2 linked regions of the Oryctolagus cuniculus genome follow. The protein of the gene in region 1 purifies or fractionates together with the protein of each later gene. This does not show direct contact. Links are inferred from orthologs where the notes say so. Each region holds a gene or a part of one and is shown in the gene's direction. Other genes may lie near its edges. The genes, in order: CD19 and CD81.

Region 1 (15,724 bases):
TTGGGTCATCTTCCGCTGCTTTCCCAGGTGCCATAGCAGAGAGCTGGATCGGAAGTGGAGCAGCCGGGACTCGAACTGGCGCCCCTCTGGGATGCGGGTGCCGCAGGTGCTGGCCTTACCTGCTGCACACAGCACCAGCCCATTTCCCCGTTTCTAAAAAGGCTCCTTCCAGAACTGCAGCAGGGGCTTTCTGGGGGCAGAGCTGCTGAGTCAGTGACTTCTCAGGAAGAGCCACTGTGGCCCCAGCCTCGCAGCCGCCCAGCCCCCTGCTCCCCCTGCTAGCTTTCTCTGTGTTACTGGATTTATCATCGGGACAATCTGCCGAGAAAGTCGCACTTCCAATTTACAAAGAAGGAGACTTACCCATGGTTTTGAAGCTGGGCAGTCTGGCTTGAGCTCCTCCGTATGAACTGATTAACTGAGGGCCTACTGTGTGCTGGCTGCTGGGCTAAAGATGTCACACAAGGGCCGGCGCCACGGGTCACTAGGCTAATCCTCTACCTAGTGGTGCCAGCACACCGGGTTCTAGTCCCGGTCGGGGTGCCGGATTCTGTCCCGGTTGCCCCTCTTCCAGGCCAGCCCTCTGCTGTGGCCAGGGAGTGCAGTGGAGGATGGCCCAAGTGCTTGGGCCCTGCACCCCATGGGAGACCAGGAGAAGCACCTGGCTCCTGCCTTCGGATCAGCGCGGTGTGCTGGCCACAGTGTGCCAGCTGTGGTGGCCATTGGAGGGTGAACCAATGGCAAAAGGAAGACCTTTCTCTGTCTCTCTCTCTCACTATCCACTCTGCCTGTCCAAAAAAAAAAAAAAAAAAACAACACAAAAACGATGTCCAACAAGTATTGTCCTCTTTCATCTTTATAAACAATATTTTAAAAATCTTAAAAATCACTTTCATTTTATTTGAAAAGTAGAGAGACAGACAGAGAGATCTTCCATCTGCTGGTTCACGACCCAAATGCCCACAACAGCTGGGGCTGGGACAGATGGAATTCAGGAGCCCAGAACTCAAATCTGGATCTCCCATGTGGCTGGCAGGGACCCAATTTCTTGAGCCACCCCTGCTGTCTCCCAGAATGCACATTAGCAGGAAGCTGGAACAAGAAACAGAGCTGGGATTCAAACCCAAGCACTCCAATATGAATATGGGCATCCCAAGGGATTACCCAGCCACTGTCCCAAATGGCTGCCTCCAAATAACATTACTTATAGTCCTGTCATTCTCCCCAGTGGACAGAAGAAGAAACTCAGGCTTTGCGTGCTGAAGGAAGTTAGCTACAAGTAGAGGTGGAGGATTTGAACTCAGGTCTGCCGCAGGTGGTCATGGGGTAGGGGTGGGGGGTGGAAAGAGGTCCAAGAAATGTTTGTTGAATGAAAGAATGAGGTGTAGGTGTGAAGGGAGCCTGGGGTTGGGAGGGGGGAACAGGAGGAAGCCCCTGAAGCGGAATCCACTCATTCAACCCAGAGTTCGCCGTCACCACCTTTGTGCCAATCACCGTCCTGGGACCGTGTGCACAGGGAGGGGAACGAGACTCTGCCTCTGCTCCCAAGGGGCTCACACACTAGTGGAGAAAACAGAAGTGAGCCCCTCCACACACGCAGAGACACACACACACACACAGACACACACACAGAGAGACACACACAATCAGTTCTTGTGGAGCTAAGTGTGGGGCGAAAACAAGACAGCACACGGGGAGGAAGCAAGCTGTGTGGGTCTGGAGGGGGCCTGGAGAAAGCAGCCCGAGGCGTGACCACCCCTTCCTCTCTGAGGGGACTGCCTGCTCGCCCCCACAGGCGTCCATGGTTCAGTGCCCAGCAGGCCCCTGCCTGCCCCAGCATCCCCTGCGCGGGGAAGCTGGGCGGCCCGGGGAGTCTGGCCACCATGCCACCTCCTCTCCTGCTCGCCTTCCTCCTCTTCCTGACCCTGGGGAGAGTCAGGCCCCAGAAACTACTGCAGGTGGAGATGGAAGGTAGGTCCAAAGAGGCAGAGAGGGAGGGAGTCGGGGTTGGAAGCCTGGGTTTGGGCTGGGTGCCCTCCACAGCGTGGCTCACCCTCTCTGAGCCTTTCTAGCTTGTGACCCAGCAGGTGCTGGGGCAGTGACGGGAAGGGGCTGGGACTCTCCCTCCCTCTCTGCCCACAGAGGGAAGTGATGCTGTGTTGCCGTGCCTCCAGGACCCCCCGGATGGTCCCCCTGAGCGGCTGATCTGGTCTCGGGACTCCCAAGGGCCTTTCCTGGAGCTGAGCCCCGGGTCCCCAGGCCTGGGCATCCATGTGGGGCGTCTTGGCATCTTGCTGCTCATCTTCAACGTCTCTAATGAGATGGGGGGCTTCTACCTGTGCCAGCCAGCGCCCCCCTCCCAGCAGGCCTGGCAGCCTGGTTGGACGGTCAGCGTGGAGGGCAGCGGTGAGGGCTGGGCCGGCCTGGGGTCAGGGAGGGGGGAAGTTGCTGGATGGGAAGTGGAGAGCCCAGTGTAGCCAGCGGCCAGAGCGGAGCTGGAGGGAGGGCTGAGGAGTCGCCTCCTGTGGTTCTGAGACCACCCCTGAGGGCCTCCTGTCTCTCTCCCACCCTCCCCTCTCTCTGCGAGTCACTGTTTCTCTGTGTCTCTATTCATCTCTGCCGTCCCCGAGTCCCTCTGCCTCTCCTGCTCTCCTGGGAGCCTCTGTATCTGGTTCTGGGTCTCTCCCCAGGGGAGCTCTTCCGGTGGAATGCTTCGGACCTAGGTGGCCCAGGCTGTGGCCTGGGCAATGAGTCTTCCAGCTCCCAGCCGTACGTGTGGGACAGAGACCACCCCAAGGAGTGGGACATGGGGCCTGCCTGCGCTTCCCCCAGGGGTGATCTGAACCAGAGCTCCAGCCTGGGTGAGGGGAAATGCTGGGGGGGTGCCAGGAAATGGGGGTCCTGCCTGGGGGGCAGTGACTGGAAACAGAAGGGGTTGGGGAGACAACACCCCAAGGATTAGGTATCACTTTCCTTGTCTCTCCCTGCCGCAGACCTCACCGTGGCCCCTGGCTCCACTGTCTGGCTGTCCTGTGGGGTGCCCCCTGCCTCTGTGGCCACTGGCCCCGTTTCCTGGGCCCACATACACCCTACGAAGCCCAACATCTTATTGCCAAGCCTAAACCTGACCGCGGAATCCCCAGCAAGAGAGATGTGGGTCCTGGGGCCTGTTCTGATGCTGCCCCAGGTCACAGCTGTGGATGCTGGGATGTATGTCTGTCGCCGTGGCAACCTGACCACGGAAATTCACGTGACAATCACTGTCCGGCCAGGTAGGGCTTCTCCCCACTGTGGGGGCAGGTGCTGGGGAGAGGGGGGTTACGGGGAGGAAGTGGAAGCCAGGCCATCTTGGACTCCCAGCCTGAGGGCTAGTCCCAGCCTCTTCTCGTCTACACCCTCTTTCCATGGGACCTCCTTTGCTCCCGAGGAGTCACCATGCCTTGATCACTCTAGTTCAGGCTCCAGACCCCTATCTCCTGGACTTGCCATTCCATGTAGACTGCACATACACAAAAATCAAAGTTAGTGTCAGGCAGGCGCCGCGGCTCACTAGGCTAATCCTCCGCCTTGTGGCGCTGGCACACCGGGTTCTAGTCCCGGTTGGGGCGCCGGATTCTGTCCCGGTTGCCCCTCTTCCAGGCCAGCTCTCTGCTGTGGCCAGGGAGTGCAGTGGAGGATGGCCCAAGTGCTTGGGCCCTGCACCCCATGGGAGACCAGGAGAAGCACCCGGCTCCTGCCATCGGATCAGCGCGGTGCGCCGGCTGCAGCGCGCCGGCCATGGCGGCCATTGGAGGGTGAACCAACAGCAAAGGAAGACCTTTCTCTCTCTCTCTCTCTCTCTCTCTCACTATCCACTCTGCCTGTCAAAAAAAAAAAAAAAAAAAAAAAAAAAAGTTAGTGTCATCCCCAGGTGTAGACTTCCATGTGCCTCCCATTGAGGGAAGGACATCATACCACTTGCCTTCCTGCCCAAACCAGACACCTGGGCCTTCTTCCTTCTCCCCACCCCAGCCAGTGAACTGGCCACATTGTACTGGCCACCTAGTCTTCATTTTAATGCAATCCTACCATGCTCTTCTCCCAATCACACGCCTCAAAGTCAGCCTCAACGGTCACTCCAAACTTGACCTCAGCAATGTGCTGGGTTCCGACATTAGCCTGCCAACTCCACTCTGTACTTCGCGTTGACCATGACCGTGTGTAACTGCAGCAAGGAAGCTGACGGTGCTGCTCCCCTTAATCCTGATGCGGTCTCTGACTCTTACCCTGGCTTGCTCACTAGAGGCTGCCCCGAGCCCTGGGCCAGGCTCTGCGGAACAGTCCCCACCCTCGGGGGACACGACTCCTTAGATGGAGGGATGAGCGCCCTCCTCATAGCTTGGGACTTTGAACCTGGGTCTTGTTCCTCCCCCCCAACCCCACCCCTGATTTATGGTCCTTGGAGGTCTTGAGGTTGGGAAGTGAGATGCCAGGCTGGGGTCCTCCTCTCATAGCCCCTCCCCCCCAGCAATATGGCACTGGCTGCAGAGGAAAAGCGGCTGGATTGTTCCAGTTGTGGCTTTGCTTTATCTGATCTTCTGCCTGGGCTGCCTGGTGAGCTTTCTTCACCTTCGGAGAGGTGAGTCCTGGCCCCCAGCCAGTCTGCACCAACCCTTCTTCCTCAAGATAAGCCACTTCACGTCTGGCCACCGTGTTTTTCTCCTCCTGTCCCTCATCCACAAACCCCAGAATCCCCCACCCCACCCCCCACCCCAGGCCCTCTAACTCACCTCAAACTTCTCAAGCCCCTGGAAACTCGAACTCTCATCTCCTTTTATGCATCCAACCCGAACTCCCCAGCAGCCCCCAAAGCCTCACCCTGCCAAGCAGCCCGCCCTCTGACCACGCCCCTTAACTCCCCCACCAGCCCTGATCCTGAGAAGGAAAAGAAAGAGAATGACGGACCCCACCAGGAGGTAAGGCGGCAAGTGCACCCCGTTCTTCCCGCCATGCTTTGCAGTCACTGCCTCCAGCGTGTCTCTGTCCCATCTCTACCCGTTGGGATACGGCCCAGTCTCCAGCTCAGCGCCAAAGCTACCTCCTTTTCGTAGACCTCCTTGGAGTGGTCCCAGAGCCCTCCGCGAGCTGTCCCGGCCTCGGGGAGCAAATCACAGGGCGCCATGTTCAACCTCGGAGGGCCTGGTCTGTATCTTGTGTCATCTGGTCCCTTCCAGTCCTGATCTCACTGCGCATCTCTCCTGCCAGATTCTTCAAAGTGACGCCCCCCGCAGGAAACGGGGCTCAGAGCCAGTATGGGAACGTGCTCTCTCTTCCCACGCCCACCTCTGGCACAGGTAAGAGGTCCTGCCAGGCTTCTGGCCCGGGTCCGCCCCTCCGGCCTTTAGCTCCGCCCCCAGAGGTAGAGCTCCACCCAGTTGTTCTCATTCCTCCAATCCCCTGAGAGCCACCGCTTCTCAGGCTCAGAACTCCGCCCCAGGGGCGTGGAGCCCCGCCCAGGTTTGACCACGTGCCCCTGGAAACACGCCCACCCCCAACACTCACAGTCCCGCCCCGAAGACGCCCAGGCAGCGGGTCCCTCACCCCCCAGCTTGAGGCCCCGCCCCTAGATTGAGATCCCGCTCCCGGGTTGAGGGCCAGGTGCACAGACCCGGAGTTCCGCGGTGGAGCCCCCAGCATCCCGCCCGCTGTGCGCTCCCAGCGCTCTGACCCCGCCTCGCGCCGCCCCTCTCGCCAGGACGCGCCCAGCGTTGGGCGGCAAGCCTGGGGGGCGCCGCCGCACCCTATGGACATCCGCTCAGCGACGTCCAGGAGGCTGGAGCCGCGGGGTCCCGGAGCCTGCCAAGAGCCAGTGAGTGAGGAAGGGGGTGTCAGTCCCCACTTGGAGCGGGTGTTGGAGTGGTCCGTGGCACGGATAACGCACTGAGGCTTGGAGGAGGGAGCATGCGCGGTCCCCCACCCCTATCCCACACCCCCAGGCCCAGAAGAAGAGGAAGGGGAGGCCTACGAGGAGCCGGACAGTGAGGCGGACTCCGAGTTCTACGAGAACGACTCTAACCCGGCGCAGGACCAGCTCTCCCAAGGTAAGGCTGCCCACTCCCACCCCCTACGCCCCCGCGGCGGGCTGTGAACCCCCGCCGGACGCCCCTCCTTCTCTCCTAGACGGCAGCGGCTATGAGAACCCCGAGGAGGAGCCGTCGGGTCCTGAGGACGATGACTCCTTCTCCAACGGTAACGCGGGGTCCTCGTGGGGTCTCGGAGCCGTGGGAGGATGCCTACGCTTGGAGCGCCTGGCGGCGGGGGCAGGAGTGGTCCCTGGAGTCCCTCTCTTGTCCCGCAGCCGAGTCCTATGAGAATGAGGATGAGGAGCTGGCCCCGCCGGTCACCAGGACAGCAGGTGCGTGGGAGGCAGCCTCATGCCCCGGGACGGGCCGGCCTGCAAGCCAGCAGCACGGTGACGCCCCTCTTCCTCCTCCAGACTTCCTGAGCCCCCACGGGTCTGCCTGGGACCCCAGCCGGGAAGCAGTCTCCCTTGGTGAGAGCTCCTTGGAGCCAGCCCGCCTTGCCCAGCCTGGGCGGACCTGGCCTCGGCTCTGACCCCGGCCCAACCTTGACCTGACCCTGACCTTCCGTTCGATTCCCTAACTGTAACCTCAACCCCCAGTAGTTGCACCATCCCTAACCTTGAACATCAGCACAGCCCAAACCCATTCCACACTGGGCTTTGACCTTCAACCCAGCTTTAATGCAGACTTCAATTTTGACCCCAGCCCTGCACAGATGTCCTCATGGCTCTGATTCCCTCCAGTTTGGTTCTTGACCGTTTCTTTGACCTAACCCCTGGTTAACCCTGACCCTTCAGCTACCCAGGGCCCAGACTTGAAGCTGACCCACCCGATCACCCCTCCTCGTAGACCATGGGTCAAGCCTGCCACCTTCCCCTGCCCCTCGGCACCTGCTCCTTAGGGTACCTCCCTTCCCCAGTCCCCAGCCCGGCTGCCAGCCTCCAATCCTCCACGCTCCGCCCAAGCAGGCTCCCAGTCCTATGAGGATATGAGAGGGATCCTGTACGCGGCTCCCCAGCTCCGCTCCTCACGGCCAGGGCCCTCTTATGAGGAAGGTGGGTGCTTCTGCGGTTCCCCCACCACCAGGGTCCTCTGGTCTCAGTGCCCCTCCCAGCCGACCTGCACCCCTCCCTGCTCCTATCCAGATGCAGACTCTTACGAGAACATGGACAATCCCGACGGGCCAGAACCAGCGTGGGGAGCAGGGGGCCATGGGGGGACCTGGAGCACTAGGTGACCCCCAGGTGACCAGGTACCCCAGGGACAGGAGGAGGAGGGAGGCGACAGGCAGGGAAGGCAGTGGAGGGCTGGCTAGGAGGGAGGGAGGGGGCAGGGTTCCCAGGGCCTTGGAGTGGCGGGGGCAGAAGCTGGGCCCCTGGACCCTTCCTCACCTCATTACCATTTCTCCTACATAGCTGGGGCTCCTGAGACCCCTGAGAGCCACACCTGACTCTGAAATCTAGGGACTGCAAGCAGATGGTGTCAACCTGTGGAACAGCATTGCTCAGGACGTGTGCGTGTGTGCTTGCACGTGTGCATGTGTGTGTGTGTTTGTGTGTGTGTGTGTGCAAGTAAAACTCCCTTCCCTTTTTGCTTTCCCCAAATAAACTCGGCGAGCTCTTCCAGTCCTATGGAGTCGTTCCCTTGTGTGGGAGGGAAAGAAAAGGTGAACAGGGTCGCACCGCTGTCCCCCGACTCTGCACAGCAGGCCGTCGCTCCTCTTTCCTTAACTTGTCTGCCCCATGCCCACCACCCGCTCACCCAACCGTTGTTGGTTCAGCGGTAGACTGCCCGGAGCCCAACAGTGAAGAGGCAACCGTCCAGGAAGTAGCAGTCGAGGGACGAGACGTCCTGCACCACCACTGGGTATTTATGTATTGTTCTACTAGGGTCTGCGCAGTTTTTTAGATGTATTATTTATTTTCCTTTTATCTGCAAGGCAGAGAGAGGTGGACAGTCAGAGATCTTCCATCCTCAATAGCTGGGACTGGGCGTGGTCACAGCCAGAAGTCAGAAACCAGGAACTGAATCCTGGTCTCCACTGTAGGTGGCAGGGACCCAAGGACGTGAGCCCCCAGGGTGCGCGTCAGCAGGAAGCTGGAATCAGAAGCAGAGCTGGACTCAGACCCAGGCACTCAGATATGGATGCCAGCATCCCAAGCCCTGGCTTAGCTACGGGGCCAAATGCTGGTCCCCAGGGAAGTGTTCTTTTTCTTCCTTGTGCTTCTGCCTGTGGAGATCCCACAGTTCCCTGGGGCACCCCTGGGAACAGCTGGCTTTGGCTGTGCCACAGTTTTACAGGCTACCCAGACTGCTGAAAGATTCATAAGTTTCTCAGAGCAGGTTTGTTTATTTTTTAAAGATGTATTTGTTTATTTGAGAGGTAGAGTTACAGATAGAGGGAGGGAGAGACAGAGAAAGAGGACTTCCATCCGCTGGTTCACTCTCCAGATGGCCGCAACGGCCAGAGCTGGGCTGATCTGAAGCCAGGAGCCAGGAGCTTCTTCCGGGTCTCCCATGCAGGTGCAGGGGCCCAAGGACTCGGACCATCTTCCACTGCTTTCCCAGGCCACAGCAGAGCTGGATCGGAAGTGGAGCAGCCAAGACTGGCGCCTGTGTGGGATGCTGGTGCTGCAGAGGGAGGCTCAACCTGCTATGCCGCAGCGCCAGCCCCTCAGAACAGGTTTTCACACCAGAGGTGTAGTGTGAATCCAGGCTCATACTTGGGGTTCCAACTGCCCACAATGGCCTTGTCCATCCCTAGCCTGTTGGGAGTGGGCTTTGCTTCCATATTGCACGCCAGCACTTGGGGAAGAATTGGTTTCTTCTCCATCTCTGTGCTTGGAAGACATCGCCCTTTCTCAGCCCCCAGCTTTGTCCCAGAGCTCAGCTCCCTGTTGTTCCTGGGGCCTTGGAATTGGCCTCTGTTCCCTGTGGGTGTTAAAACTCCAGTCTTAGACATTCCAGCATGCCTATGGCTGCTGGGCTCCCCACCCCCCACCGCCCCGCAACCATTGTAACTTTGTTTTCCTTCTGTATTTCTGGTACCAAGAAGATTCTTAAAAAAAAAAAAAAAAAAAAAAAAAAGATTTATTTGTCAGAGTTACAGAGAGAGAGAGAGAGAGAGAGAGAGAGAGAGAGAGATCTTCAATCTGCTGGTTCATTTCCCAGCTGGCCTGCAATGGCCAGGACTGGGCCAGGTTGAATCCAGGAGCCAGGACTTTTACCCAGGTCTCCCACATGGGTGGCAGGGGCTTAAGCATTTGGTCCATCTTCGGCTGCTTTCCCAGGCCATCGGCAGGGAGCTGGGTCGGAAGTGGAACAGCCAGCATTCCAGTCGGTGCCCATATGGGATGTCGGCACTGTGGGTGCAGCTTTACCTGCTGTGGCACAATGCCCAGCCCTGGTACCAAGGAGATTCTGTCCTGCTTTTGAGTTCAATTATCTTTTTCTTTTTTAATTAATTAATTTATTGTTTTTTAAAATTTTAATTAGTTTTTAACAGATTCAATATGGTTCATAGGTACAATTCTAAGAACCTAATGATGGGCTGCTGTTGAGGCCTCATTCCACCACAGGCTGGCATTGTGGAGTAGTGGGTAAAGTTGCCACCTGCCCTGCCAGCATCCCCTGTGGGCACTGGTTCAAGTCCCAGCTGCTCCATTTCCAACCCAGCTCCCTGCTGATGGCCTGGGAAAGCAGCAGGAGATGACCCAAATACCTGGGCCCTGCCACCCACATGGGAGACCCAGATGAAGCCTCTGGCTTCTAGCTTTAGCCTGTCTCAGCCATAGCTGTTGCAGCCATCAGGGGAGTGAACCAGTGGGTAGAAGATTCTCTCTCTCTCTCTCTCTCTCTCTCTCTCCTTCTCTCTCTGTAACTTTGACTTTCAAGTAAATATACAAAGCAAAAAATATGATATAGTCTTCCTCCCTCCCTCCTTCCCTTTCTTTTTTTCTTTAATCTTTTAATTCATTCTTTCCGTGAGTTTTTTTTTTTTAAAGGTTTATTTGAAAGGCAGAGTCAGAGAGAGAGACAGAGAGAATCTTCCAGCAGCTGGTTCTCTCCCCTGAAATGGCCACAACAGTCAGATCTGGGGCAGACAAAGGCAGAGGCCGGGAGCTCCCTCCTGTCTCCCACGTGGGTTGCAGGGGCCCAAGTTCTTGAAGCATCTTCCACTGCCTTCCCAGGCACGTTAGCAGGGAGCTGGCTGGGAAGCAGCACAGCCAGGACTCCAAGGAGCACCCTTATATGGGATGCTGGTGTCATAAGCCACAGCTTAACCTGTTGCCCCACAGCATCGGCCTCTCAGCTGCCCATTAAAACAAAACAAAACAAAAAACAAACAGAAGAAGAAAAATTAGAAACAATCTGGTTTGGCTCACCCCAGCCCCTGGACCCCCCGCCCCCATTGCCATAATCCCTGCCATTCTTTGTCATCTTTCACTCAGTCTCATTCATGTCAGCTTCCTGCCTGTCTGAGTTTGCGCTGTGACTCCTGGTGAAAATACCCTGCCTTCGCGAGATTGGATCCAGGCCTGAATCTCTGTGTGTCTCTGGTCCCCGGCCAGAGTGGGGCAAAGATCTCGGGCAACGAGTGGGCAGCAAAGGAGGAGGAGTGAGACTCTGCAGGAAGGGCTGTGACAGGTGCTTCCTGCAGGCAGGGTGCAGAGGAGGGCGGCACCCCAGCGGCTTGGACCCTCCCACCCCACCCCACCCCCCACTGGCAAGTTGGTGGGGAGGGGAGTGGAGATTGGAGCCCAGGTGTGCTAACTCCAGCCCAGCTCTGAAATCCGAGGATCAGGGTTTGAATCCCAGCTCCAGCCATTTCCGGGGTGTGATAGTTTCCTGGTGGGTAAAATAGGGATAATAAGGATAGGTGCTGGGGTGCTGGGGTTGGCCTTGTGGCATGGCAGATAAAGCCTCTGCCTGCAATGCCAGCATCCCATATGGGTGCCAGTTCGAGTCCCGGCTGCTCCACTTCCAATCCAGCTTCCTGCTAAATATACCCGGAAGGGCAGCAGAGGATGGCTTAAGTCCCCGGGTACCCCCTGCACAGGCATGGGAGACTTGGATGAAGCTCCTGGCTCCTGGCTTTGGCCTGGCCTAGCCCTAGTTGTTGTGGCCATTTGGTGGAACGAACCAGTGGATGAAAGATCTCTCTCTGTCTCACCTTCTCTTTCTCTCTGTAACTCTGCCCATCAAATAAATAAATAGATCTTAAAAAAAAAAAAAAAAGGATAGCTTCCTTAGTCTAAAAGACACATAAAGCACTTGATGGTGGCGTAGGGAGCACTCAAATACCTGTTGATTATTTGGCCTGTATTAGGGGTCTACTGTGCACCAGGAGTCAGGAGACACCAACCCATTGTGCAGAGACCTGCTCGGGCAAGAAGCCACATTCCAACTGGCGCTGTGCCCTAGTGGGTTAAAAGCCTCTGCCTGCAGCACCGGCATTCCATATGGGTGCTGGTTCTAGTCCCGGCTGCTCCACTTCCGATCCAGCTCTCTGCTATGGCCTGGGAAAACAGTAGAAGATGGCCCAAGTCCTTGGGCCCCTGCACTCGCGTGAGAGACCCAGAAGAAGCTCCTGGCTCCTGGCCTCGGATCAGCACAGCTCCGACTGTTGCGGCCAACTGGGGAGCGAACCAGTGGATGGAAGACCTCTCTCTCTCACTACTTCTTTCTCTGTGTAACTCTGACTTTCAAATAAATAAATAAATATTAAAAAAAAAAAAAGAATGGGGACCGGTGTTGTGGTGCAGTGGGTTAAGCAACTCCTGCAGCTCTGGCATCCTATGTAAAAGGTACTGGTTCAAGTTCAAGTTCTGGCTTCTCCTGGGAAGGCAATGGATGATGACCTAAATGCTTGGATCCCTGCCACCCACATGGGAGACCCAGATGGAATTCTGGGCTCCTGATTTTGGCCTGGCTCAGCCCCAGCTGTTGCTGCCATTTGGAGAATGAACCAGTAGATGGACGATCTCTCTCTCTGTCTCTCTCCCCCCCCCCCCCCGCTTGCCCTCTTTGTCTCTGCCTTTAAAAAATGAGCCTGAGTTGATACTTGGCTCCAGCTCCTGACTCTAGCTTCCAGCCAAGGTGCACCCTGGGAGGCGGTGCTGCTGGCTTTTTGTGGCCGGACTCCTGACACCCACATGGGAGACCTGGTTTGAGTTTCTAGCTCTCAGCTTCAACCTGGCCCAGCCCTAGCTGTTGGTGGTGGTATTTGGGGGAACAAAGCAGCAGATGGGAGCCCTCTCTGTTTCTGCCTCTCAAATGAAAAACAAAAGCAAGCAAGCAAACAAACAAAAAACACAGGGGCTGGTGCTGTGGCTTAGCCAGGAGAGCTGCCACCTGTGGCACCAGCATCCCATATGGGCGCCAGTTCACGTCCCAGCTGCTCCTCTTCCGATCCAGCTCTCTGCTGTGGCCTGGGAAAGCAGTAGAAGATGGCCCAGGTCCTTGGGCCCCTGCACCCGCGTGGGAGACCCGGAAGCTCCAGCGGCCCCAGCAGTCATTCTCTATGAGGACGTCACAGACAGCCTGGGCTTGCACCTGCTCTGATGCAGATTTCCTTTATGGCTGTGAACGTCTTCTACAAATGACAGCTTCTCAGACTCGCTGAGAGTCTGCAGACTCGCTGCAGAGCCCTCTCGAATTTGCTAAAGAAGCATTGCGGTGCCCTGGTTTGGTCTCCCATAAGGGTCCTTCCTGCAATGTGGATGGCCGGCTATGAAGAAAGGCTGAAGGGCTCTGGGAGCTGGGAAGTCCTTGGAGTCCCCTCTGTCACCGCCCCCGGGGTCCCTCTGTTCCCTGGGAAACAGCGCCACCTGCTGGAAGTTGTGTGCCTGGCGTGTTGACCTGGGCTGAGCCAGCTCAGAGCATCAAAGGCTTGAGCAGAGGCACTATGTGTGTGTGTGTGTGGGGGGTGTCAGGAGGCTGCGGAGGTGCAGGTGTATGGGTGGCATGTGGGTGGGGTCAAGGTGCTGTTCCAGATGGAGGTGTGCAGTACGAGCAGTCTGAACACCATGTGTGTATGCAAGGCGTGTGGCGTTGAGTGTGTACCGTGTGGGTCTTAGGGGTGAAGGATGCTGTGGGGTGTACAAGGGCACTTCAGAAAGTTCATGGAGGGTGGGCCCGGCATCGCAGCACAGTGAGTAAAGCCACTGCTTACAATGCCAGCATCCCTTATTGGAACGGTAGCTTGAGTCCCAGCGGCTCCGCTTCCAATGCAGCTCCCTGCTAATGTACCTGGGAAGGCAGCAGATACTGGCCCAGTGCTTGGGTCCCTGGCACGCATGTGGGAGACCTAGAAGGAGCTCCTGGCTCCTGACTTCGGATTGACCCAGCTCTGGCTGTTGTGGCCACTTGGGGGAGTGAACCAGCAGATGGAGGAGCTCTTAGTCTCCATCTCTCCCCTTTTCTCTGTAATTCTGCCTTTCAAATAAAATAGAAAAAAATAATACAAATAAATAAAATAAAAAATAAAAAGAAATAAAATGAAAAAAATTGGAGTTTTTTTGGGGGAAATAGTAAGTTTATTTGAAAGGCAGAGTTGCAGAGAGAAAGAGAGGTGGGAGGGAGAGCGAGAGAGAGAGAGAGAGAGAGAGAGAGAGAGATCGGGGCCAGCATAGCAACATAGCAGGTTAAGCTCCATCTGTGACGCTGGGTTCTCATATTGGGTGTGTCACCGGAGAAAAGGCCGTGGGTTCTTGTCTTCACGCAAGAAAGAATTCAGGCATGAGACAGCTAGCGGAGCAATAAGGCTTTATTGGGGGCAGGGCATCTGTCAGAACGGAAGACAGAGAGACAGCGCCCAGTCGCTCGGACTGGGAAGAGCGAGGTTACATGGTTGAGTGGAGAGAATACACCTGGGCAGGCCAGGCGGGCAGCTCAGCAGAGAGCGGAGAGCTGAGCACACAGTCCGTTTGGACTCCCTAGGTTTTTAAGGGTGTCTGTCTACCCACTTCCCCCTCTCCTCCAGGACAAAGGATGGAGAGTCCTGGTGGAAGGGTTTGTTGGGTGAAAATTAGCAAATTCCAGGCCGGCGCCGCGGCTCAATAGGCTAATCCTCCACCTAGCGGCGCCGGCACACTGGGTTCTAGTCCCGGTCGGGGCACCGGATTCTGTCCCAGTTGCCCCTCTTCCAGGCCAGCTCTCTGCTGTGGCCAGGGAGTGCAGTGGAGGATGGCCCAAGTGCTTGGGCCCTGCACCCCATGGGAGACCAGGATAAGTACCTGGCTCCTGCCTTCGGATCAGCACGGTGCGCCGGCCGCAGCGCGCCAGCTGTGGCGGCCATTGTAGGGTGAACCAATGGCAAAGGAAGACCTTTCTCTCTGTCTCTCTCTCTCACTGTCCACTCTGCCTGTCAAAAAAAAAATAATAAAAAAAAAGAAAATTAGAAAATTCCTCCCCAGATTTGTTGGCACGGGGCAGAGCAGAGGGGCTTCCCTTAGGGCGTCTGAGAAGGTTTCATTGCCCCATGTTATCAGGTCAGGTAACCCCTCTGGTCCTGAGGAGAGAGAGTTCTCCTGAGAGCTTCCCTTGGGGGAAGGGCTGGGACCACCTGGGAGGTTACCAGGGTCTGGGCAGGGCTTTGAAGTGCAAGATGCTGGGCTTCTGGAGCTTCCGAAGTGGGTGCTGGGCTTCAGCCCTGTCTCTCACACGCATAGGCTCAGTTTCTGACTTCCTACCTAACAGGTGCAGGTTCAAGACCCAGTTGTTCCACTTCCGATCCAGTTCCCCACTATGTATCTCTGGGAAAGCAGTGGAAGATGACCCAAGTACTTGGGCCCCCACACCCAACTGGGAAGCCCAGAAGAAGCTCCAGGTTCCTGGCTTGGGTCAAGGCTGTGGCCTTGGCCATTGTGGCCATTTGAGGAATGAACCAGCAGATGGAAGATCTCTCTCCCTCTGTCTCTGTCTCTCTAACTCTGCCTTTGAAAATAAATAAAAACAAATCTTAAAGAGAGAGAGAGAGAGAGAGAGAGAGAGAGATGTTCACTCCCTCAAAATAGCTGCAACTCCCAGTATTGGGCCAGCCTGAAGCCAGGATCCTGGAACTCCACACAGGTCTCCCACGTGGTTGCATGGGCCCAAGCACTTGGGCCATCTTCCGCTGCTTTCCCAGGTGCATTAGCAGGGAGCTGGATTGGAAGGGGGAACAGCCAGGATTCCAACCAGCGCCCTATTGGGTGCCATTGGGCGTCATAGGTAGCTGCTTAACCCATCGCGCCACAACACAGGTCCCTGGGGAGAAAAATGTTTTAAAAAATTGCTTAAAGTTCATGGAAATTGGAATTAAAATTTGGGGTGGGCGTTGTGGCCCAAAGGGCCAAGCCACAGCCTGGGACGCCCGCATCCCATATGGGATCGCCAGTTTGAGTCCCGGGCTGCTTCGCTTTGCATCTAGCTAAATGGGTTTATGAACATAGTTTGAGGATGTGTCGACGCTGTGTAGGACATGTATTTGGAGGGGCTGCTGGGGCGAGGGAGGGTGTGTGTGCGACAGTATGTGGCGCCGAGTGGAACACTGGGTACCACAACGGGATATGCGTTTGCCTCATGCCTAATTTCACAGTTTCTAAAGCGATCTCTCCCTCGCCTTCCGGCTCTCAACAGCCTTAGGGTTTAAGGACTACAATTCCCAGCAAGCCCCACTC
Region 2 (15,554 bases), on another chromosome or scaffold:
GCCTCCTCTGGGCGGCCCCGCGGTGGATCCTGTGGAAATAAACAAGGCGTGTGGTCAGCAGCTGCTCCCAGCTTGTTCAACAAACGAATGACCGCCCCCACCAAAAGGAGCCTCTGGCAGGGGCCTGGCGTGTGAGGGTCCGAGCCAGGGGGACAGCCTGGACTGGAGTGAGGGCCCCAGGCGGTGGCGAACGCCCTCCCGGGAGCCCCAGCCCTGCGGAGCCAGGCCCGCCCCGTGCTGAGACGCTGTCCCCCCCAGCCCCTCCAAACCTCGTGGCAGCAGTGAGGGTGAGGGGCACCCCAAACCCCGCCCGGCCAGCTCTGGTCACCCGCAGATCTCCACCCCCCCACCAGCCCCACCCGCTCTCTCTCTCTAGGAATGGGGTCCCCAGAAGACGCCTCCCCCAGCCACCACCGGGAACTCAAGGGTTTCACAAGACCAGAGACCGCTCCAGGCGCAAGCCCCGCCCCCAGGCCACCGGACGGACAGACATCAGCACCACCTCCCCGGGGGACAGGCAGGGCCTTCTGCTGGCTCAGTCCAGATTTCCGGCTTCTGCTGCCCGCTAGGGGTCCTGGGACACGGAGGAGTGTCAGGGCTCCTGGGAATGACCCCGTGCGCTTGGACGGGATCGCCCAGGGACGCCGGGTTGGCACGCAGGGGCAGCTCTGCCCATGGCTCTGGGTCAGCCAGGCTCCCTTCCAGGCCTGCAGCGTCCCCCCTGCCCCACGGCGGGGGCTCCTGCAGGCTTCCTGTCCCTGCCTCCCGCCAGAGCAAGACTGAGGGAAGGCCCCACCCCCCCAGAGTACCCGAGCAGTGAACAGATCCGGACCCTGACCTGGTGGAACCCCGGCCCTGAGTGCAGGAACCCCAAACCTCCCGCGCCTGCCCTGAGGCCCCTCCCCTTCTTGTCCCCACGCCCTGCGATGCAGCAGGCCTCACACCCCAGGCGGAGGCCTCCCGGGCTGTGCCCTCTCTGTCTCTGTCCCAGGCTGGCCTGGACATTGCCCCTCTCCGACACCCTGAGGGGCCAGTGAGCTCGGCCTTGACCGCCGGGCCCCAAGGGACTGCCCCAACCCCGACTGTGCTGTGGGCAGCCCATCACTGTGGCTCTCAGCCCCCTTTATACACCCGCAGTGGAGCAACACCACACTGCGAGGGCGCGCTCGGACGTCCGGGGAGACCTGGAATCAGAGCTGAGCGGGCTTCTGCAGGCCGGGCGCGCCTGTCCCGTACCCTGCACCTTCATCGGCTTCTCCAAGACCCCTGCGGGCAAGGGTTTCAAAAACAAACCTTCTGCCCCAGAATAACTGATCTTTTCATTCATTTTTCACAATGATAGGCAAGGGGTCCTGACCCCCCCACTTCAGGAAGCCCAGGAAGCCAGTGGCACCCCCCCCCCCAGCCACCGGCCGGGCCAGGCCAGGGAGGCCACTGCAGCTTCCCCGTCCTCACCCAGCTCGGGCCCCACCACGGACAGCCCAGGACGCTGCCCACAGCACGCTCGCTTCCCGGGCCCACGGCCTCTCGGCCTCCAGGAGGCCCGCCGCGCTGCCCTGCTGTCTCCGGAACTTTGTGCACCGTGTTGAGATGCAATCCGTGGACCATAAAGCAAACCCATCCGACTGTTTCCCAGAGCAGCCCCGGGGCTGGGCCAGCCACACCACGGGGCTGCGGGCGGCCACTCCCACCCTCCACCACGGCCCCTGCGGGTCCACTTCCTGTCTCCCCACGTGAGTGGGGTTCCCCAGTGACTGGCTTCCGTCAGCACCACACTGCCTGTCGAGGTCCCCCCAGGTGTCATGTAACGGCCAGCCGGATCTCGCCCGCCCACTGGCCGATGACGGATGTGTGAGTGGCTTCCACTTCCTGGCTGCATCCTGTGCAGGACGCAGGCCCGTGGGGACTCTGGATTCTCTCTCCCTCCCTCCCTCTCTCTATGGGATCCGTGCGCGTCTGCACGCATGTGTGTACCTCCAGTTACGCACTTGGGGTCATCTGGAAGCCTGACCCTGGTCACGTTCACAGCCTCTCAGAGACCGAGCGGTTCCGACGCGAAGCTTCTCCACGCGGCGCTGACAGCTGCCCATGGTAAAGCGTTTGCCGAAGTGGCCAGTCATCACCTGTCTCCAAAATGCATCTTTTCTCCCAAAATCTGGCCCTTCCCTGAAAACACGGGTTCGTTCGACTTCTGTGCCACAGCCCGTGGAAGCCGCAGAGAGAACAGCTCTGGTGCCGCTGGGCCACCCCGGGTCAGCCCAGCAGCTCCGAAGTGTGGCGGGCGGCCCCGGGTTTGAACTGCTCAGCTTGGCACACCGGGCGGCCCGGCACTGCCAGCACGCCCGCTCCTCCCCAGTGCTGGCCTCGCCCCCGCCGAACGCCCGTGTCGTGAGGGCTTTGTCCTGCATACAGCAGAGCAGCCGGATTGCAGCCTTGCGGACGTCCAAGCCTGCAGGTATCCAGGGACGAAGTCCTTGTCCGAATGCCTCAAAGCAAGAAACCCTTCGGCTGGTCCTGTGGACCGCGAGAACCCTGAGGGCCGCCCCACTGGAGCGAGGGCTGCGTCTGCACCCCGTGAGTGCCCGCGAGAGCCTGCATCCAGGGGACAAGCGGTGGCCTGGCCCGTGCTGCTGACCGGCGTTTCCCCAGGACAAGTGACGCCGAGCACCTGCTCCTGGGCTTAGCGGCCACCTGCGCTCTGGAGCAGGGCCCGAGCCGGCCCTTCGCCCTCGCGCAGCCGGGCTGCCCTGTCCTGGACGGGATTCGACGTCGCTGGGTCATGAAGACTCTCAGAGTTCTGTCTGTGTTCTGCACATCAGTCCCTCCACAGCGCACGATTCACTCCCATTAGTAAATGGGGCGGGGGCGGGCGCTGTGGTGCCAGCATCCCCTCTGGGCGCCGGCTCCAGTCCTGGACGCCCCATTTCCGGCCTGGGAAAGCAGGGGAAGATGGCCCAGGTCTGATACCCCCTCCCCCAGCACACACAAAGTTGGAAAACCCAAACTTCCTGACTCAAGCCCCTGTGAGGCTGCAGTGACCAGAAGGGGGCGTCCTGGGGTGAGGACAGACGGACGGACCAACGGAGTGCAGACTGCAAGAACAAGCCCTCCTTGGCCGGCGCCGTGGCTCAATAGGCTAATCCTCCAACTTGCGGCGCCGGCACACCGGGTTCTAGTCCCGGTCGGGGCGCCGGATTCTGTCCCGGTTGCCCCTCTTCCAGGCCAGCTCTCTGCTATGGCCAGGGAGTGCAGTGGAGGATGGCCCAGGTGCTTGGGCCCTGCACCCCATGGGAGACCAGGAAAAGCACCTGGATCCTGGCTCCTGCCATCGGATCAGCGCGGTGCGCCGGCTGCAGCGGCGGCCATTGGAGGGTGAACCAACGGCAAAAGGAAGACCTTTCTCTCTCTGTCTCTCTCTCACTGTCCACTCTGCCTGTCAAAAAAAAAAAAAAGCCCTCCTGTCTGCTCGTGGGTTTTCTTTTTTTTTTTTTTAATATTTATTTATTTATTTGAAAGACAGAGTTACAGAGAGAGAGAGAGAGAGGTCGTCCATCTGCTGGTTCACTCCCCAGATGGCTGCAATGGCCGGAGCTGCGCCAAATTGAGCCAGGAGCCAGGAGCCAGGAGCTTCTTCCGGGTCTCCCACGTGGGTGCAGGGGCCCAAGGACTGGGGCCACCTTCTGCTGCTTTCCCAGGTGCATTAGGAGGGAGCTGGACTGGACGGGGGGCAGCCGAGGCTCAAACCGGCGCCCATGTGCGATGCTGGCACTGCAGGCGGCAGCTCTCGCGGCTCCACGGGTTATGCCACCACGGCAGCCCCCGGCTGGACTTCTGACCGTGTTTAAAGCTGTAGATCCACACGGGAACACTGTCATCTTAACCAGACTAAGTCTTCCGACCCCACACACGGAGCTCGCGGCATCCAACGTCTTTCACCGACGCTTTGTCCTTTTTAGTGAACGCGCCTGGTGCGTCTCTGCTCACCGTGTCCTAGGGTGTTTCCGGTGTTTTTATTTATGTGTTTATTTATTTATTGCTGCTATTCTAAATGGGATTGCCATCTTTATTTTGTTTGCAATCCTCCTTGCGGGGGTATAGGAGTAAAACTGAGTTTTGATCTTAATGGTCTTAACACAATAATAAGTAATAATACTTATTAGCATTAATGTTAATAGTTTTTGGTGGATTTCTCAGGATGCTCCACACACAGTACCAGGTGGTCAGCACACGGGGCGTCATGTTTGGCTTGGCCCATGTGGGCCACCTAACAGAACAGGAGCAGGACAGGTGTGCAAACATCAGGAACCCACTTCCCACAGTCCCAAGGCTGAGGCAGCGGCCGTGCTGAGCCCGCCAAGGGCTGTGAGAGCAGGCGGCCTCTTGGGGGAGAGCTGGACCCCCTTCCACGTCCACACTGCAGTTTTTATGGAAATGGGCTACGGCCCAGCATTCCTCTCCCCCCAAGCCCCCTCCTGGGAATCACTGGGAGGGGGGCTGAATTCTCCCCGGAGCCCCCGTGGTGCAGGGCTGGGGCGGCTGGAACTCACCCTCCAGGGCCAGGCTCCACGTGCACCTGCTGCCCCTCCTCCCTGGCTCGGCCATACCAGAGCTCCCACTCCTTATACACACACGGGCCGAGGTCCACCTGGCTGCCTAATGTTCCCCTCTCAAGAGGCGACCGCACAGGGTGGCATGGGTGAGGCGGTCTCCCGCGTTTTCTTGGAGCTGGCGTCCAGGCGTGGGGCTGGCACGGGCACTGTGCCACTGCCGCTGTCCTCCGGTGTGTGGCCGTGGCCCTGGGGACGCCTGCCTGTGCGGCCAAGGCCGAGGCGCGCTGACCCACACGGTGGGCCGGAAGTCCGGGACTTCTTTTCCCCAGGCCCCGGCCCTCTGACGCCCCCCTAAAGGGCTAGCCCCTAACACCTCCTGGGGAGGGGCGCGCTCTCATTCCACTTCCTGCCCCCCACTGGGTGCCTTGTGCATCTCTGTGGTGCCTCCCAGCGCGAGCCGGGCAGGGGAGAAGCGTGGGCGCGCACCGGGCCTGCTCCGGAGGGCGTCCTGAGGCTCCACGGAGCCCCGCATCCCAGCTGGACGAGCCCCCTCTTCTCGGCCGCCAGTGAGCGTTTTCTCCGCGGGAGAGGGCTGGGGGCTCTGGGGGCCGCCCCCACTGCGTGTGTCGAGATGAGCCACCCGGATGTGGTCCTTTGGGCTGTGAACACCGCGTATGGCCTGAGCCGTTAGCAGCTCCCCGTGGAGCCTCTGCCCTGCACACAGCCGGCCCCGTGTTCCAGGCCCCACTGGTCCTCCTCCGGCCGCCGTCATGTATGGCCCAGGAAGTCAGGGCAGGCAGGGGGGAGTGCGTGGTCCTGGGGGCACGGGGGTCTCCCAGCCACAGACAGCTCACAGAAGCCAGCGGCAGCCTGAGGAAACTGAGGCAGCCTCCCCAGAGCAGGGAGGTGGCCGAGCAAAGCAGCCAGGCTGCGGTGACCAGTCCTGCCCCCTACCTGGTGCCCCGCCCCCTGCCGATGCTCCGCCTCCGTGCCTGGTTCCCAGCCCCTGTCTGATGCCCTGCTCACTGCCTAGTGCCCCGCCCCTGCCTGATGCCCCGCCCCCTGCCTGGCGCCCCGCCCTCAGCACACGCAGCCCCACCTTCCCTGGGCAGGGTACCCCCGGGGGCTGCGGGAACAGGGGTTCCCAGCCCAGCCACGGCCCCTGGGCGAGCCCCTCCCCTCTTCTCACACAGCCCACCTGGGGGTTTGTCCGCGGGGTCCTGGAACCGGAAGGAAGTTCTCTCAGGCCCGGCCAACTTCCGGTGGCGCCCACCTGTCCCAGAATCACAGTGACACGTGCCCTGTCCTCACTGCCCTGGGCCCCCAGCACACATGAGGTCAAGGGCATGGGACACCCACCAGGCCCCTGAGGTGTCCCCCACCAGCCTACGGAGCCGGGGTTCCACTGTCGGCAGCCACCGGGCCCAGCTACACCCCCAGGCCACCCCACCCCACCGTGACCAAAACGGAGCACCAGCCCATCTGGGCGTCAGGCTCTCATCCCTGCTCGGCTCCGTCGGCCACTGCAGCCTCACCCATCTACCTGCAAGGCTCCTCTCCCCTGTCAGCCCCTCCCCCCATCAAGCATCCCGGCCTGGGCTCCTGGGTGGGGCAGCACCTGTCTCAGGCCCTCCAGGGGAGGGGTCCTGGCTGCCCCCCCAGCCAGCACCTGGCCCAGCTCCTGCCACACAAAGGGGCCAGGAAATGTGAGACGCGTGACCAAGCCAAGGACAGGACAGGACAGGGCGGCCGGGTGACCGGCCTCGGACCGAGGGCTCCGCCTGGCAGGAAGCGTTCCTGGCACCGGGGACAGCGGGGAGCTCACCAGACGCCGGCTCTTCTGGCCCCTCCCACCCACAAAGGCCTCTCGGAGACCAGACGTCCAGCGGGACCTTGTGCCTGCAGCTCACACGTTGGCGTGGGACACAACCACGAGCACCCACCGGCCAGCAGGAAAACCATGGGAGGAGTCAGCCCGGGGAGGACACACCCACGCAGACAGCCCCCAGCCACCATCTGCACGGGGCAGGGGCAGGACTCAGACCGGCCCCACCTGGGTCCGGGCGAGCGCCTGCCCAGGACGCAGCCTCGGGTGCACGTGGGCCTGCATGACCTGCTTGGGGCCGATGAGGAGGGGCCGATGAGGGGCCAGCGCTGGCTGGGGCCTGGGGCCTGGGAGAAAGCACCCCTCGCTGTCCCATCAGTCCCCACTGCCTCACCAGACCCCAGCTGCGAGGGCAGGGCCGGGGAGTGGCAGGGCGGGTGGGTGCGAGCTGCCACGGTGGCTCCCGCGCTGGTCGCGCTGGTCTGGGGCCCAGCTGGTGACCTTTGCCGAGGCTGCTGGGGGCGGCAGCAACGGCTTTCCCTAGCACAGGAACTGGCTGCCGAGAATTCGGGTCCAGACCTTCAGGCCCACCCCTGGTCTGCCCTGGACAGCAAGAGGAGCAGAGCTCCGGTGCGTGCAGAGCCATCCGCCACTGCATCACCTCCACCGGGAGCCCTCGGGGATTACGACAGGCGCCTGAGCAGGGGGAAGGGGAGGTCTTGCTCCCAGACACGTGCTGCATGCCCACGCTCGGGGGACACTCGCCCGGCCAGCGGCTGGGGACGCGACGGTCTCGGGTGACCGGACCCAGGAAGCCGCAGCGCCCTCCTCCCACCCTCACCCCGCCCCCTCTCCCACCCGGCTCTGTCCCGCGGCCGGGGCTCCGGGCGCCGGGGGCGGGGCCGGGCCGGGGGCGGGGCCGCGCTGTCCTATAAGCGGCGCGGAGGGGGCGCGCGCCCGGCCAGAGAGCGAGCGCGCACAGCGGCGGCGGCGGCGGCGGCGACCCCTCCGTGCTACCGGCCAGGCCTCCCGCGCCCCGCGCCCCGCGCGTCCCGCTCGCCGCGCTCCGAGCCCGGGGCTCGCCGGCCCCCGCCGCCCTCCAGGCCCCGCGCCCGGCCCGGCCCCGCGCCCCGGCCCGCCCGCCGCCCAGGCCCGGCCCGCGCCCGCAGGCCGCCCGCCGCCCGCGCCGCCATGGGGGTGGAAGGCTGCACCAAGTGCATCAAGTACCTGCTGTTCGTCTTCAATTTCGTCTTCTGGGTGAGCAGCGGGGCGGGGGGCGGGGCGCGGCCCGCCGAGGGCAGGCGCGCAGGCCGCGCGCTAGGCCCCGCGGAGGGGGCGCGGGCGGCCGTCGAGTTGCGGAGCCACCTGTGGGCTCCGGGCGCGGGTGGGGGGCGTCCAGGGCCGCCGAAGCCCCTGGCGGCGGGCCCGGCGGCGGGGACCTCTGCGTGTCGGGGCCCAGCCCCGCGGCCCGGCGGAGCGTCTGGGTAGGGGGCGCGGGGCTCTGTCCGCTCTGTGCCCGGGACAGGTCGGCGCGCGTGGCCCGGAGCCGCGTCCCCAGCCGCAGTGCCCGGGACCACCCGGCGTGGCGCGGGCGGAGGGGCTTGCCCCGCCCCCATGAGCTCATCGGGGCCACCGCCCCGGAATGGGCCGCGAGGGGAGGGGGCGCACGCTCTGGGCCGGCGCCTGGGGCCCTTCTTCCGCGCCGCGCCCTGAGGGCAAGTCGCCCTCTGGTCCCTGGGGGCAGCGCACCGGGGTTCCTGGGGGCCCAGCGCCCCTCTTCGCTGGCGCTGCGCGTCCGGTCCCGCCTGGCCCCGGGGGGCTGTGGACGCTCGGGGCGGGGAGGGCCCGCGTTGGGGCGGAGGGCGGCACGGGTGCGGGCTGGGGCTCCCCGCTCTGCAGGGAGGGGTCGGCGCGGGCTGGTCCTGGGGGAACTTTCTTGGCTGCCGGGGAGGCGGCCCGTGATGTTTTCGCCTTTTGTTTCCATTTCCTGTCGGCCCTGGAATTGGGGGTGGGGGGTGGAGAGGCCGAGCGCGGTGGGGGGGGGCCAGACGGCCGGCCCCTGCCCCTGCCCCTGCCCCTGCCCCCCGGGTCTGGCCCTTCCTGCAGGGCACTGGGCGCCGTCCTGGCAGGCTCCGCACTCCCCAAGTTGAGGCAGGAGGGTCAACTTTTAGCGCGGGCCCCGGGACATCTGCTTCGCATCTGGACAGCTGCCGGGCCAGCGAGGACCTCGGGCAGGGAGAACAGAGACAGGGCTGCCGGCTCCGGGGACACTGCGCTCCCGCGTGGGGTGGCGGTGAGGCCATCTGGCCGGCCCAGCCTGGCCCTGGGGCCTTGGCCAAAGAGGAGGTGGCATCTGTGTGGGTCAGTGTTTGCCTGCCAGGGCCCAGACGCGTAGGAGGTGACGGGCACAGGGGGCGTCCCTCTGCTGGCCCGGGGAGGGGGGTGACGGGATGGGGGCGGGGCCTCCTCCTGGAGATGTTTGTGCCTTGGGCTGTGCAGCAGTGCCAGCAGCTGGGAGATCTCCGGGGGCGCGCCCCCCAGGGAGCTGGGCCGCTTCCCGGTTGGTGGAGGCTGGAGCACACCCCCCGGGGCGCTGGTTCCGAGGCCCCTCCCGCCCGGCCTGTCCCGGGGGCCCCCACCGGCCTGTCCCCGGGGCCCCCACCCGGCTCCCTGCACTGCAGAGCCCCCTCTGAGCGGGGTCTTCGTGGACTTCCTGGTGGCTGGCAGGCTGCTCGTGTGAGTGAGGGGCTTGGCGCAGGGACGGCTCCGGAAAAGGAGGCTGGGCATGGCAGCCGCCGTGAAGCTCGGCCAAGGAGAGCCGGGCCGGGCCTGGCCCAGGAGGAAATGCCTGGGCGCGGGGGTGCCCGCCCCACGGGGCCTGTTGTGGATGGAGGGCCCTGGGGGCTTGCGGGGGTGTGGCGGGACAGGTGGGCACTGCACGTCTGGATGGGCGCTTTGTAAGATGTTTATTGGGAAGTCAAAGAGGCAGAGAGAGACGCCCGTCCTCTGATTCGCTCCTCAGACGCCTGCAGGGGTCACGCCAGGCTGAAGCTGGGGAAGCCCAGTCCAGGGCCCCGCACCTGCTGCCCTCCCAGGGTGCAGCTCGGCAGGCAGCTGGAGCCGGCTCTCAACCCAGGGCTCCCACATGGGCTGCGGGCGCCCCGGGCGGCATTGTCAGCCTTGTGCCAGGTGCCGGCCCCTGCGTGGGGCACTTTTTAAAAGTCCCATTTCAGGAGCCGCCTCGAGGGGGGAGGCAGCCGTGGGAGCCTGGCAGCCCCGGGGAGGAAGGTGTCCCACAGGTGCTCGTCTTCCTCCCATCGCTGGCCATGTGCAGTGAGGCGTCCTGGCCAGCGAGGTCGTGGGCTCCCCGGCGGCCCGAGCAGAGAGCACCGTGCGGATGCCCTTGGGCTGGGTCCCGGAGCTCCTGGGATGGGGCAGGGGTGCGTAGAGCTGGCCTGCACGGCAGGTGTGACGGTGGCCAGGTGTCCTGAGAGGTACAGCCGGTGGCTGCCTTCCAGTGGCAGATGAAGCCCTGGGAACAGGCGCTCGATTTACTTCTGCCAGATGGCACGTGACCGTCCGTCACCCCGCCAGCGCATCTGCTCCCTGCCTCGGACGGCGACCCCAGCAGGCTGTGTCGGGGGGACTCGGCACGGGGGCGACTGGACTCCCCCAGTGCCCCCACACCGACCCCACGCCGGGGAGACAGCCATTCGGCCCGGCCTGCAGAGGAGAGAGTGCATGGTTGCGCCTGCGTTGGGTCCTCAGCCGGGGAGGGCGGCAGGGCCCTGGGTACCACGGCAGGTGGCCCAGAGCCCTGCCCTCATGCTTTGCTGAGCCTGCTGGGCCTTCTCCTGGCTTTGCCACCGTGTGCGGGTCGCTGGGCAGACCCCAGCCCCGTTTCTGCTCCGAAACGCCATCCCAGGGGAGAGCTTTGGTGGTGAAATCAATAAGGCATAGAGTCCAGGCACCGTGGGAGGGGCGCCCTCGCCCAAGCGGCTGATTCGGGGAGGACCCTGGGTGGGGGCAGGCAGGTGGCCCTTGCTCCGGCCCTGACCCCTGTGCCCCGGCCAGTGAGCGGTGAGGACCGGGTGATCTTCAGCCCCGGACACCCACCTCTTCTGCCCCCAGAACTGGGCTCGCCCGGAACGCACCCTCCGAGGCCCACACCTGTCCAGTGGGATGTGGTGTGACCCAGGGTGCCTTCCAAAAATCTGTGTGGTTTCCCGGGCACCCCCAGCACCGTGCACATCCTCGGTACTGCCCGGCCCAGTCAGAACTCTCCCCCTGGGGCATCCAGTGGGCAGTGGGACGTCCGGCCCGGGCCTCGGGCGGCCTCCACTGGCTGCCAGTGTTGTGGCCATGGGGGTGGCTGGGACGGCTGTGGGGCTGGGGGCACTCAGAGTTGGCGCCCGGGAGCCCCTGTGTCTGGGCGCTGTAGCTGAGCTGTGGGGTGCCCAGCACGTGGCGGGGTGGGGGTGCCTGGCTGCAGTGCTGGGTCCCGGGCCCTGGACTTGCGAGGGGCAGTGGTTCGAGCAGCACGGGCTGCACCCCCACCGCACGCCTGGCGTGACCTCAGCAGCACGCAACAGGCCTCCCTCTGTGCCCGGGAGATGTTGGCGGCTCACGGCTGCCCGCCTCGTGCCAGGCGGCCGGCCCCTCAGCCTCCAGCTGCCCACGAGGGGGCAGGGCTGGGACCAGAGCCCCTTCCTCACCCGCCCTACTGCCACGGCCTGCAGGCGCCCCGGGACTCTGGCAGCCCCCGTCCTCTGCCTGGGGTCTCCAGGGCCAGCTGGGGTGGGGAGGCTCTGCTGGGGCAGGTGGGAACAACTCTGGGGGCTCTCCTGGCTGGTGACACCCCACCTGCCCTGGGACCCCTCCCACCGCCCTCCGAGGGCCCAACCTCCCATTCTCACCCGTGGGACCCTGCCCATCCTGCCCGAAACACAACTGTCAGGGTCCTGGCTACCCGCGACCCCCCCTTCCCTGCAGGGGGAGCTGGACGCTGGCCTGGGCCAGCAGCAGCTGTCCTGCGGGGAACGGGCCGCCTGCCCTCGGGGTCTGGGGTCCACGGCCTCGCCCTGGACCTATTTTTAGATGCTGGGACAGGCGGCTTCCTGAGGCCCAGGGCCCCAAGCGGCGCCTCCGCTTCCTGGCCAAGGTGAGGACCGAGCGCCCCTTCCCTCCGTGCCCCCTCCCCGCCCCGCAGGACCCTGCCTGACCCTGTCCCCGCTTCCATGCCCAGGACCCAGGCTGCAAGCACAGGCTGGCCTCCCTCCGGGGAGCCTCACGGCCCCCACCCCGGGTCTCGCTGGCCCCCCGGCCCCGCCCCGTCACCCAGCCGGCCTGCATTTCTGTGTCCCAGCACATGTGGCCCCCCAGCCCGTGGCCTCTCCCCAAGACCAGTGCACGGGGCAGGGCTCCAGCTACCCAGGGGGGCTGGTGCTGCCCAGCAGGCTGTGTCGGCAGCACTTGGGGTGACCTGGGAGCCAGAGGGCACAGCCCCGCCGCCGGCCAGGGTCTGGCAGAGGGCGGGAAGCCCGCCTGGGCAGCGCCCGCGCCCCATACTGCCTTTCGGCTGCTTCTGGGAACTGGCGCACTTGGCAGCCCCGTGTCGTTGGCTCTGTTAGTTATTAGTTCTCGGGGCGGAGGGAGGCAGGAGGAGGAAGAAACAGAAACCAAAGTTGCTGCAGACCGCGGGCTGCTCCCCGCCCACCTCCGCCCGAGCCCTGCGCCGCCCCCTCCGGGCAGTACCCCGGGGTGCGGGAGCCTCTCGGTGGGTGCTGCCCCGTGGCAGAGGAGTGGACGGAGCCCGTGGTGCACAGACCCCCGGCACGGGGGCGTTGAAGGCCGTGGCGGAGGGGGCCCGGGCCTCCCTCCCCCGCGGTCTCTGTCCAGTGCCCTCTCATCGTGGTGTCCAGCATGGGGCGTTCTCGAGCCAGCATCCCACATGTTGACCCATGGCCTGGCCTTGAGCGTCCCTGGGTGTGGGCTGCTGGCCACCGGAGGCGGGGGGAGCCGGGAATTTGGGTGTGGGGGTTTTTAAAACCTCCTGTTGAGGATGCGGGCATCGAAAGTGCTCGGCTTGGTGAGTTGTGGCACAGTAGCCGCCACCAGGAGAGCACGGCGCCCTCCCAGCGCGTCCAGGCCCCTGGCCGCCCGCCCCGTCCGGGACGGTGAGTCTCTGCCCGTCACGGGGCTGGCAGGTCTGCATCGCACTGCCCTGTGAGTGTCCAGCCTGGCCCGCCCACCCTCCCCTCGGTGTCTCCGTCCCGAGGCTGGCCCGCACCGGTCCATGTGGGTGTCCGCTGTGGGACGGCCCCCAGGGTCCCCCAGGCTCCACCCCGAGTTGCCAGGTGCATTTCACATTTGCGTTCCTGGCCCCGGGCAGCTGGGCCCAGTGGCCAGCGCGGGTCTCCCCAGCCAGGGAACACCGGCTCTCGTCCAGAGCTGCCTCTGCTCCCTGCTGCTCCAGCTGAGTGCTCCGTCCTGTGCCTCGGAGCTGCCCCCCGGGTGGGGCGTCCGGGAGGTCAGCCGTCCGCCCCGTGGCATCTGCCTGGCCCCTGTGAGGCCTGTCCGTCCTGGTGCTGTGTCTGACTCTGAGTGCCAGAGCCCTCCTCGCTGGCCTGCCCTCTGCCCTCCCCACGGTGGGCACAGGGCCCGGGGCTCCTGCCCGGAGGCCACCTCCCCTCCCCGCCCTGCCTGCGACCTGGGGCAGGGAGACCAGCGACCCCTGCCTGGGCGCCCGTTGAGTGGCACTTGCTCCCCGTTTCTGTTGGGACAGGGGCTGGGGGCCTCTTTTCTGCTAAGGGCCCTTTGGATATTTAATTACCCATTTTTAAAAAAATATTTATTTGAAAGAGTTACAGAGAGCGAGCGAGAGACAGCGAGATCTCCCACCCGCTGGTTTCCTCCCCAGACGGCCACAATGGCCAGGGCTGGGCCAGGCTGAAGCCAGGAGCCAGGAGCTTCTTCCAGGTCTCCCACGTGGGTGCAGGGCCATCCCACGGTGCTTTCCCAGGCCTGTTAGCAGCGAGCTGGATCGGAAGTGGGGCAGCCAGGACCTGAACCGGCGCCCATCTGGGATGCTGGCGTCTCCGGTGGTGGTGCCACGCGCTGTGCAGCTGTCGAATTCCGAGTCCCACCTGCAGTTGGATTTCACGGCCCACCCCGGCCCACCCTAGCCGGCGCATCCACCTTGGGCAGGACCAGCTCCCCAGCCTGTGCCAGGTCGCAGACTAGTGAGGGTCCCTGGGCTGGGTGGCACAGAGCCAGGCTCTGCCCACGGCCTGGCTCTCCCGGTGAGGACCCTGGGACAACCTGCCAGGACCTCACAGCACAAGCCGCTGAGGCAGGCTCTGGCCACAGAGGGAGAGGACGGGGCGGGGGCTCGCCCCATGTCCTGGGACGGCTCTCAGAGTGACCTCGGGGTCAGGAGTTCAAAACGGAAACCGCGCAGCCGAGGAGACCTGAGTGACACTTCCCCGCCGAGCGCCAGGCCGGGGCCCCACGCTCCCCGCTGCCTCCCCCACACCCTCCACCTGTCTGCTTCAGGATTCTGGAAGCTCAGGGCCCTGGCTCCCTGGGCCTTGCCGTGGGCAGGTCGGCCAGCAGGAGCCCTGCGGGTCCTTGGGGGCCCTGACGGCGCCCCGGCTGCTGGCTGGGGACCCGGCTCCATCGAGGGCCCCGGGGGGAGGTAGGCTCCTGTCCCACCCCCGCTGCCGGGCTGAGGGGCTCCGGGGCACGCGCCGTTCGTGGTCCTTGTGGCAGTGAGACCCCCTCCCGCAGCCCCCGACGCCCACCCCCCATCGGGGGCACAGAGCCAGAGCTGGGCCGGCAAGGTGGTGGTCTCGGCTTCTAGTTTCCTTTCTGCCATCAGCAGCCGCCGAGGCGTGGGTGTGGGGCCTCCCTGGGGCACCTGTGACGGCCGGCCACAGAGAGCCCGTCCCTCCTGGGGGGGAGACTCCCCTCCCTGCACAGTCCCTGCCTTCTCTTGCGGGAAGCCCTCAGGGCTTTGGCAAGGCCTGTGGGCGCTGGCAGTGGGCTCCCTGTGCCAGAGCCTGACCTCCTGCTGTGGGCGGGGCCCTGGACTGACAGTCTCTTCCAGGCTTGCCGTGGCCTGTGCAGCGGTGGGGGGGGGGGGGGGACGCAGAGGGGATCTGGAGGGGCCTGGCTGTGTGGGAAAGCAGTGGCGAGGGTGCAGGCCGTGGGACTCGGGGTCCCGGGTATTTCCGGGGAGCGTGTGGTGGAGGCAGGCCTGCCCAGGGAGGGCGACCTGCAGCTGGCCACCTGTCCTGGGAGGGGCCCTGGGCCACCGCGCGGCCGCCACCTGGCTCCGAGCGCCTTTCTGCCCACCAAGCGCCTCTCGCCGCGGCCCACAGCACCACTTCCTTCCTTCCTCCCTGGCAGCTGCCGGGATTTGCCCCACAAACCGCATGCCGGGCCCTCTCCTGCAACAGAGACTCGGGGTCCGCATCTCAGGGGTTCCCAGCTGCGCAGGGGCTCAAGACAGCAGTGGGTGAGGCCCCCCTCGGGAGGGGGCCTGGGGCAAACGAGCAGGCAGACGCCCAGCCAACCCCGAGTAGGAGGACGTCCCCGCTTAGGCTCAGAGTCCTTTGTCTCAAACGCACACACCTGTGCTGGCGACCTTGGAGTCGCAGGGGTGCTGGTGGGAGGTCCCAGGGGCACCAAGGCGGCTCTTCCAGGGAGGGGCGGCTCTGCCCTCCCCTCCCACCCCACCCCAGGACCGACCGCCAAGTGAGGGAGGGTCTGTCCCCAGAAGAGATGCCGGCCCGGGAAGCCCCATGGGGCCCTAGCTGCACCTGACACTGCCTCTTCTGTCCCCAGCTGGCTGGAGGTGTGATCCTGGGCGTGGCCCTGTGGCTCCGCCACGACCCCCAGACCACCAACCTCCTCTACCTGGAGCTAGGAGACAGGCCTGCACCCAACACCTTCTACGTGGGTGAGTGCTCTGGGCTGAGGTGGCCACGGGCAGGTGGTCAGGGAGGGCTTCCTGGGGCAGGCGGGGCCTGGCACTGGGCAGAGGCAGCCAGCCAGGACTAAGATGGGCCTGTGGCTTGCGGGGACCCACAGGCCACCCTGGGGGCCGAGCTGCCGCCGCCGGCCGAGCCTGGATCAGCTGTGCCAAGCCCTCGCTCATTTTATCATGGGAATTCTAC

The links.
Region 2: the proteins of CD19 (region 1) and CD81 purify together in Homo sapiens (affinity purification with western blotting, with the first as the bait; 3 studies listed by BioGRID). This does not show direct contact. The link is inferred for Oryctolagus cuniculus from reciprocal best matches to the Homo sapiens genes CD19 and CD81.

Annotation. Positions count from the first base shown.
Region 1 is NC_091450.1:7,744,919-7,760,642, forward strand, and holds CD19 (B-lymphocyte antigen CD19), read left to right. Parts: upstream 1-1,614; 5' UTR 1,615-1,883; coding exon 1,884-1,971; intron 1,972-2,142; coding exon 2,143-2,406; intron 2,407-2,690; coding exon 2,691-2,861; intron 2,862-2,993; coding exon 2,994-3,272; intron 3,273-4,507; coding exon 4,508-4,618; intron 4,619-4,906; coding exon 4,907-4,955; intron 4,956-5,244; coding exon 5,245-5,333; intron 5,334-5,734; coding exon 5,735-5,848; intron 5,849-5,975; coding exon 5,976-6,080; intron 6,081-6,159; coding exon 6,160-6,228; intron 6,229-6,337; coding exon 6,338-6,394; intron 6,395-6,475; coding exon 6,476-6,532; intron 6,533-7,030; coding exon 7,031-7,117; intron 7,118-7,207; coding exon 7,208-7,299; 3' UTR 7,300-7,314; intron 7,315-7,477; 3' UTR 7,478-7,687; downstream 7,688-15,724. UniProt on the Homo sapiens protein: Functions as a coreceptor for the B-cell antigen receptor complex (BCR) on B-lymphocytes. Decreases the threshold for activation of downstream signaling pathways and for triggering B-cell responses to antigens.
Region 2 is NC_091432.1:1,167,112-1,182,665, reverse strand, and holds the start of CD81 (CD81 antigen), read left to right. Parts: upstream 1-7,339; 5' UTR 7,340-7,566; coding exon 7,567-7,632; intron 7,633-8,851; exon of another isoform or gene 8,852-9,111; intron 9,112-15,222; coding exon 15,223-15,337; intron 15,338-15,554. UniProt on the Homo sapiens protein: Structural component of specialized membrane microdomains known as tetraspanin-enriched microdomains (TERMs), which act as platforms for receptor clustering and signaling.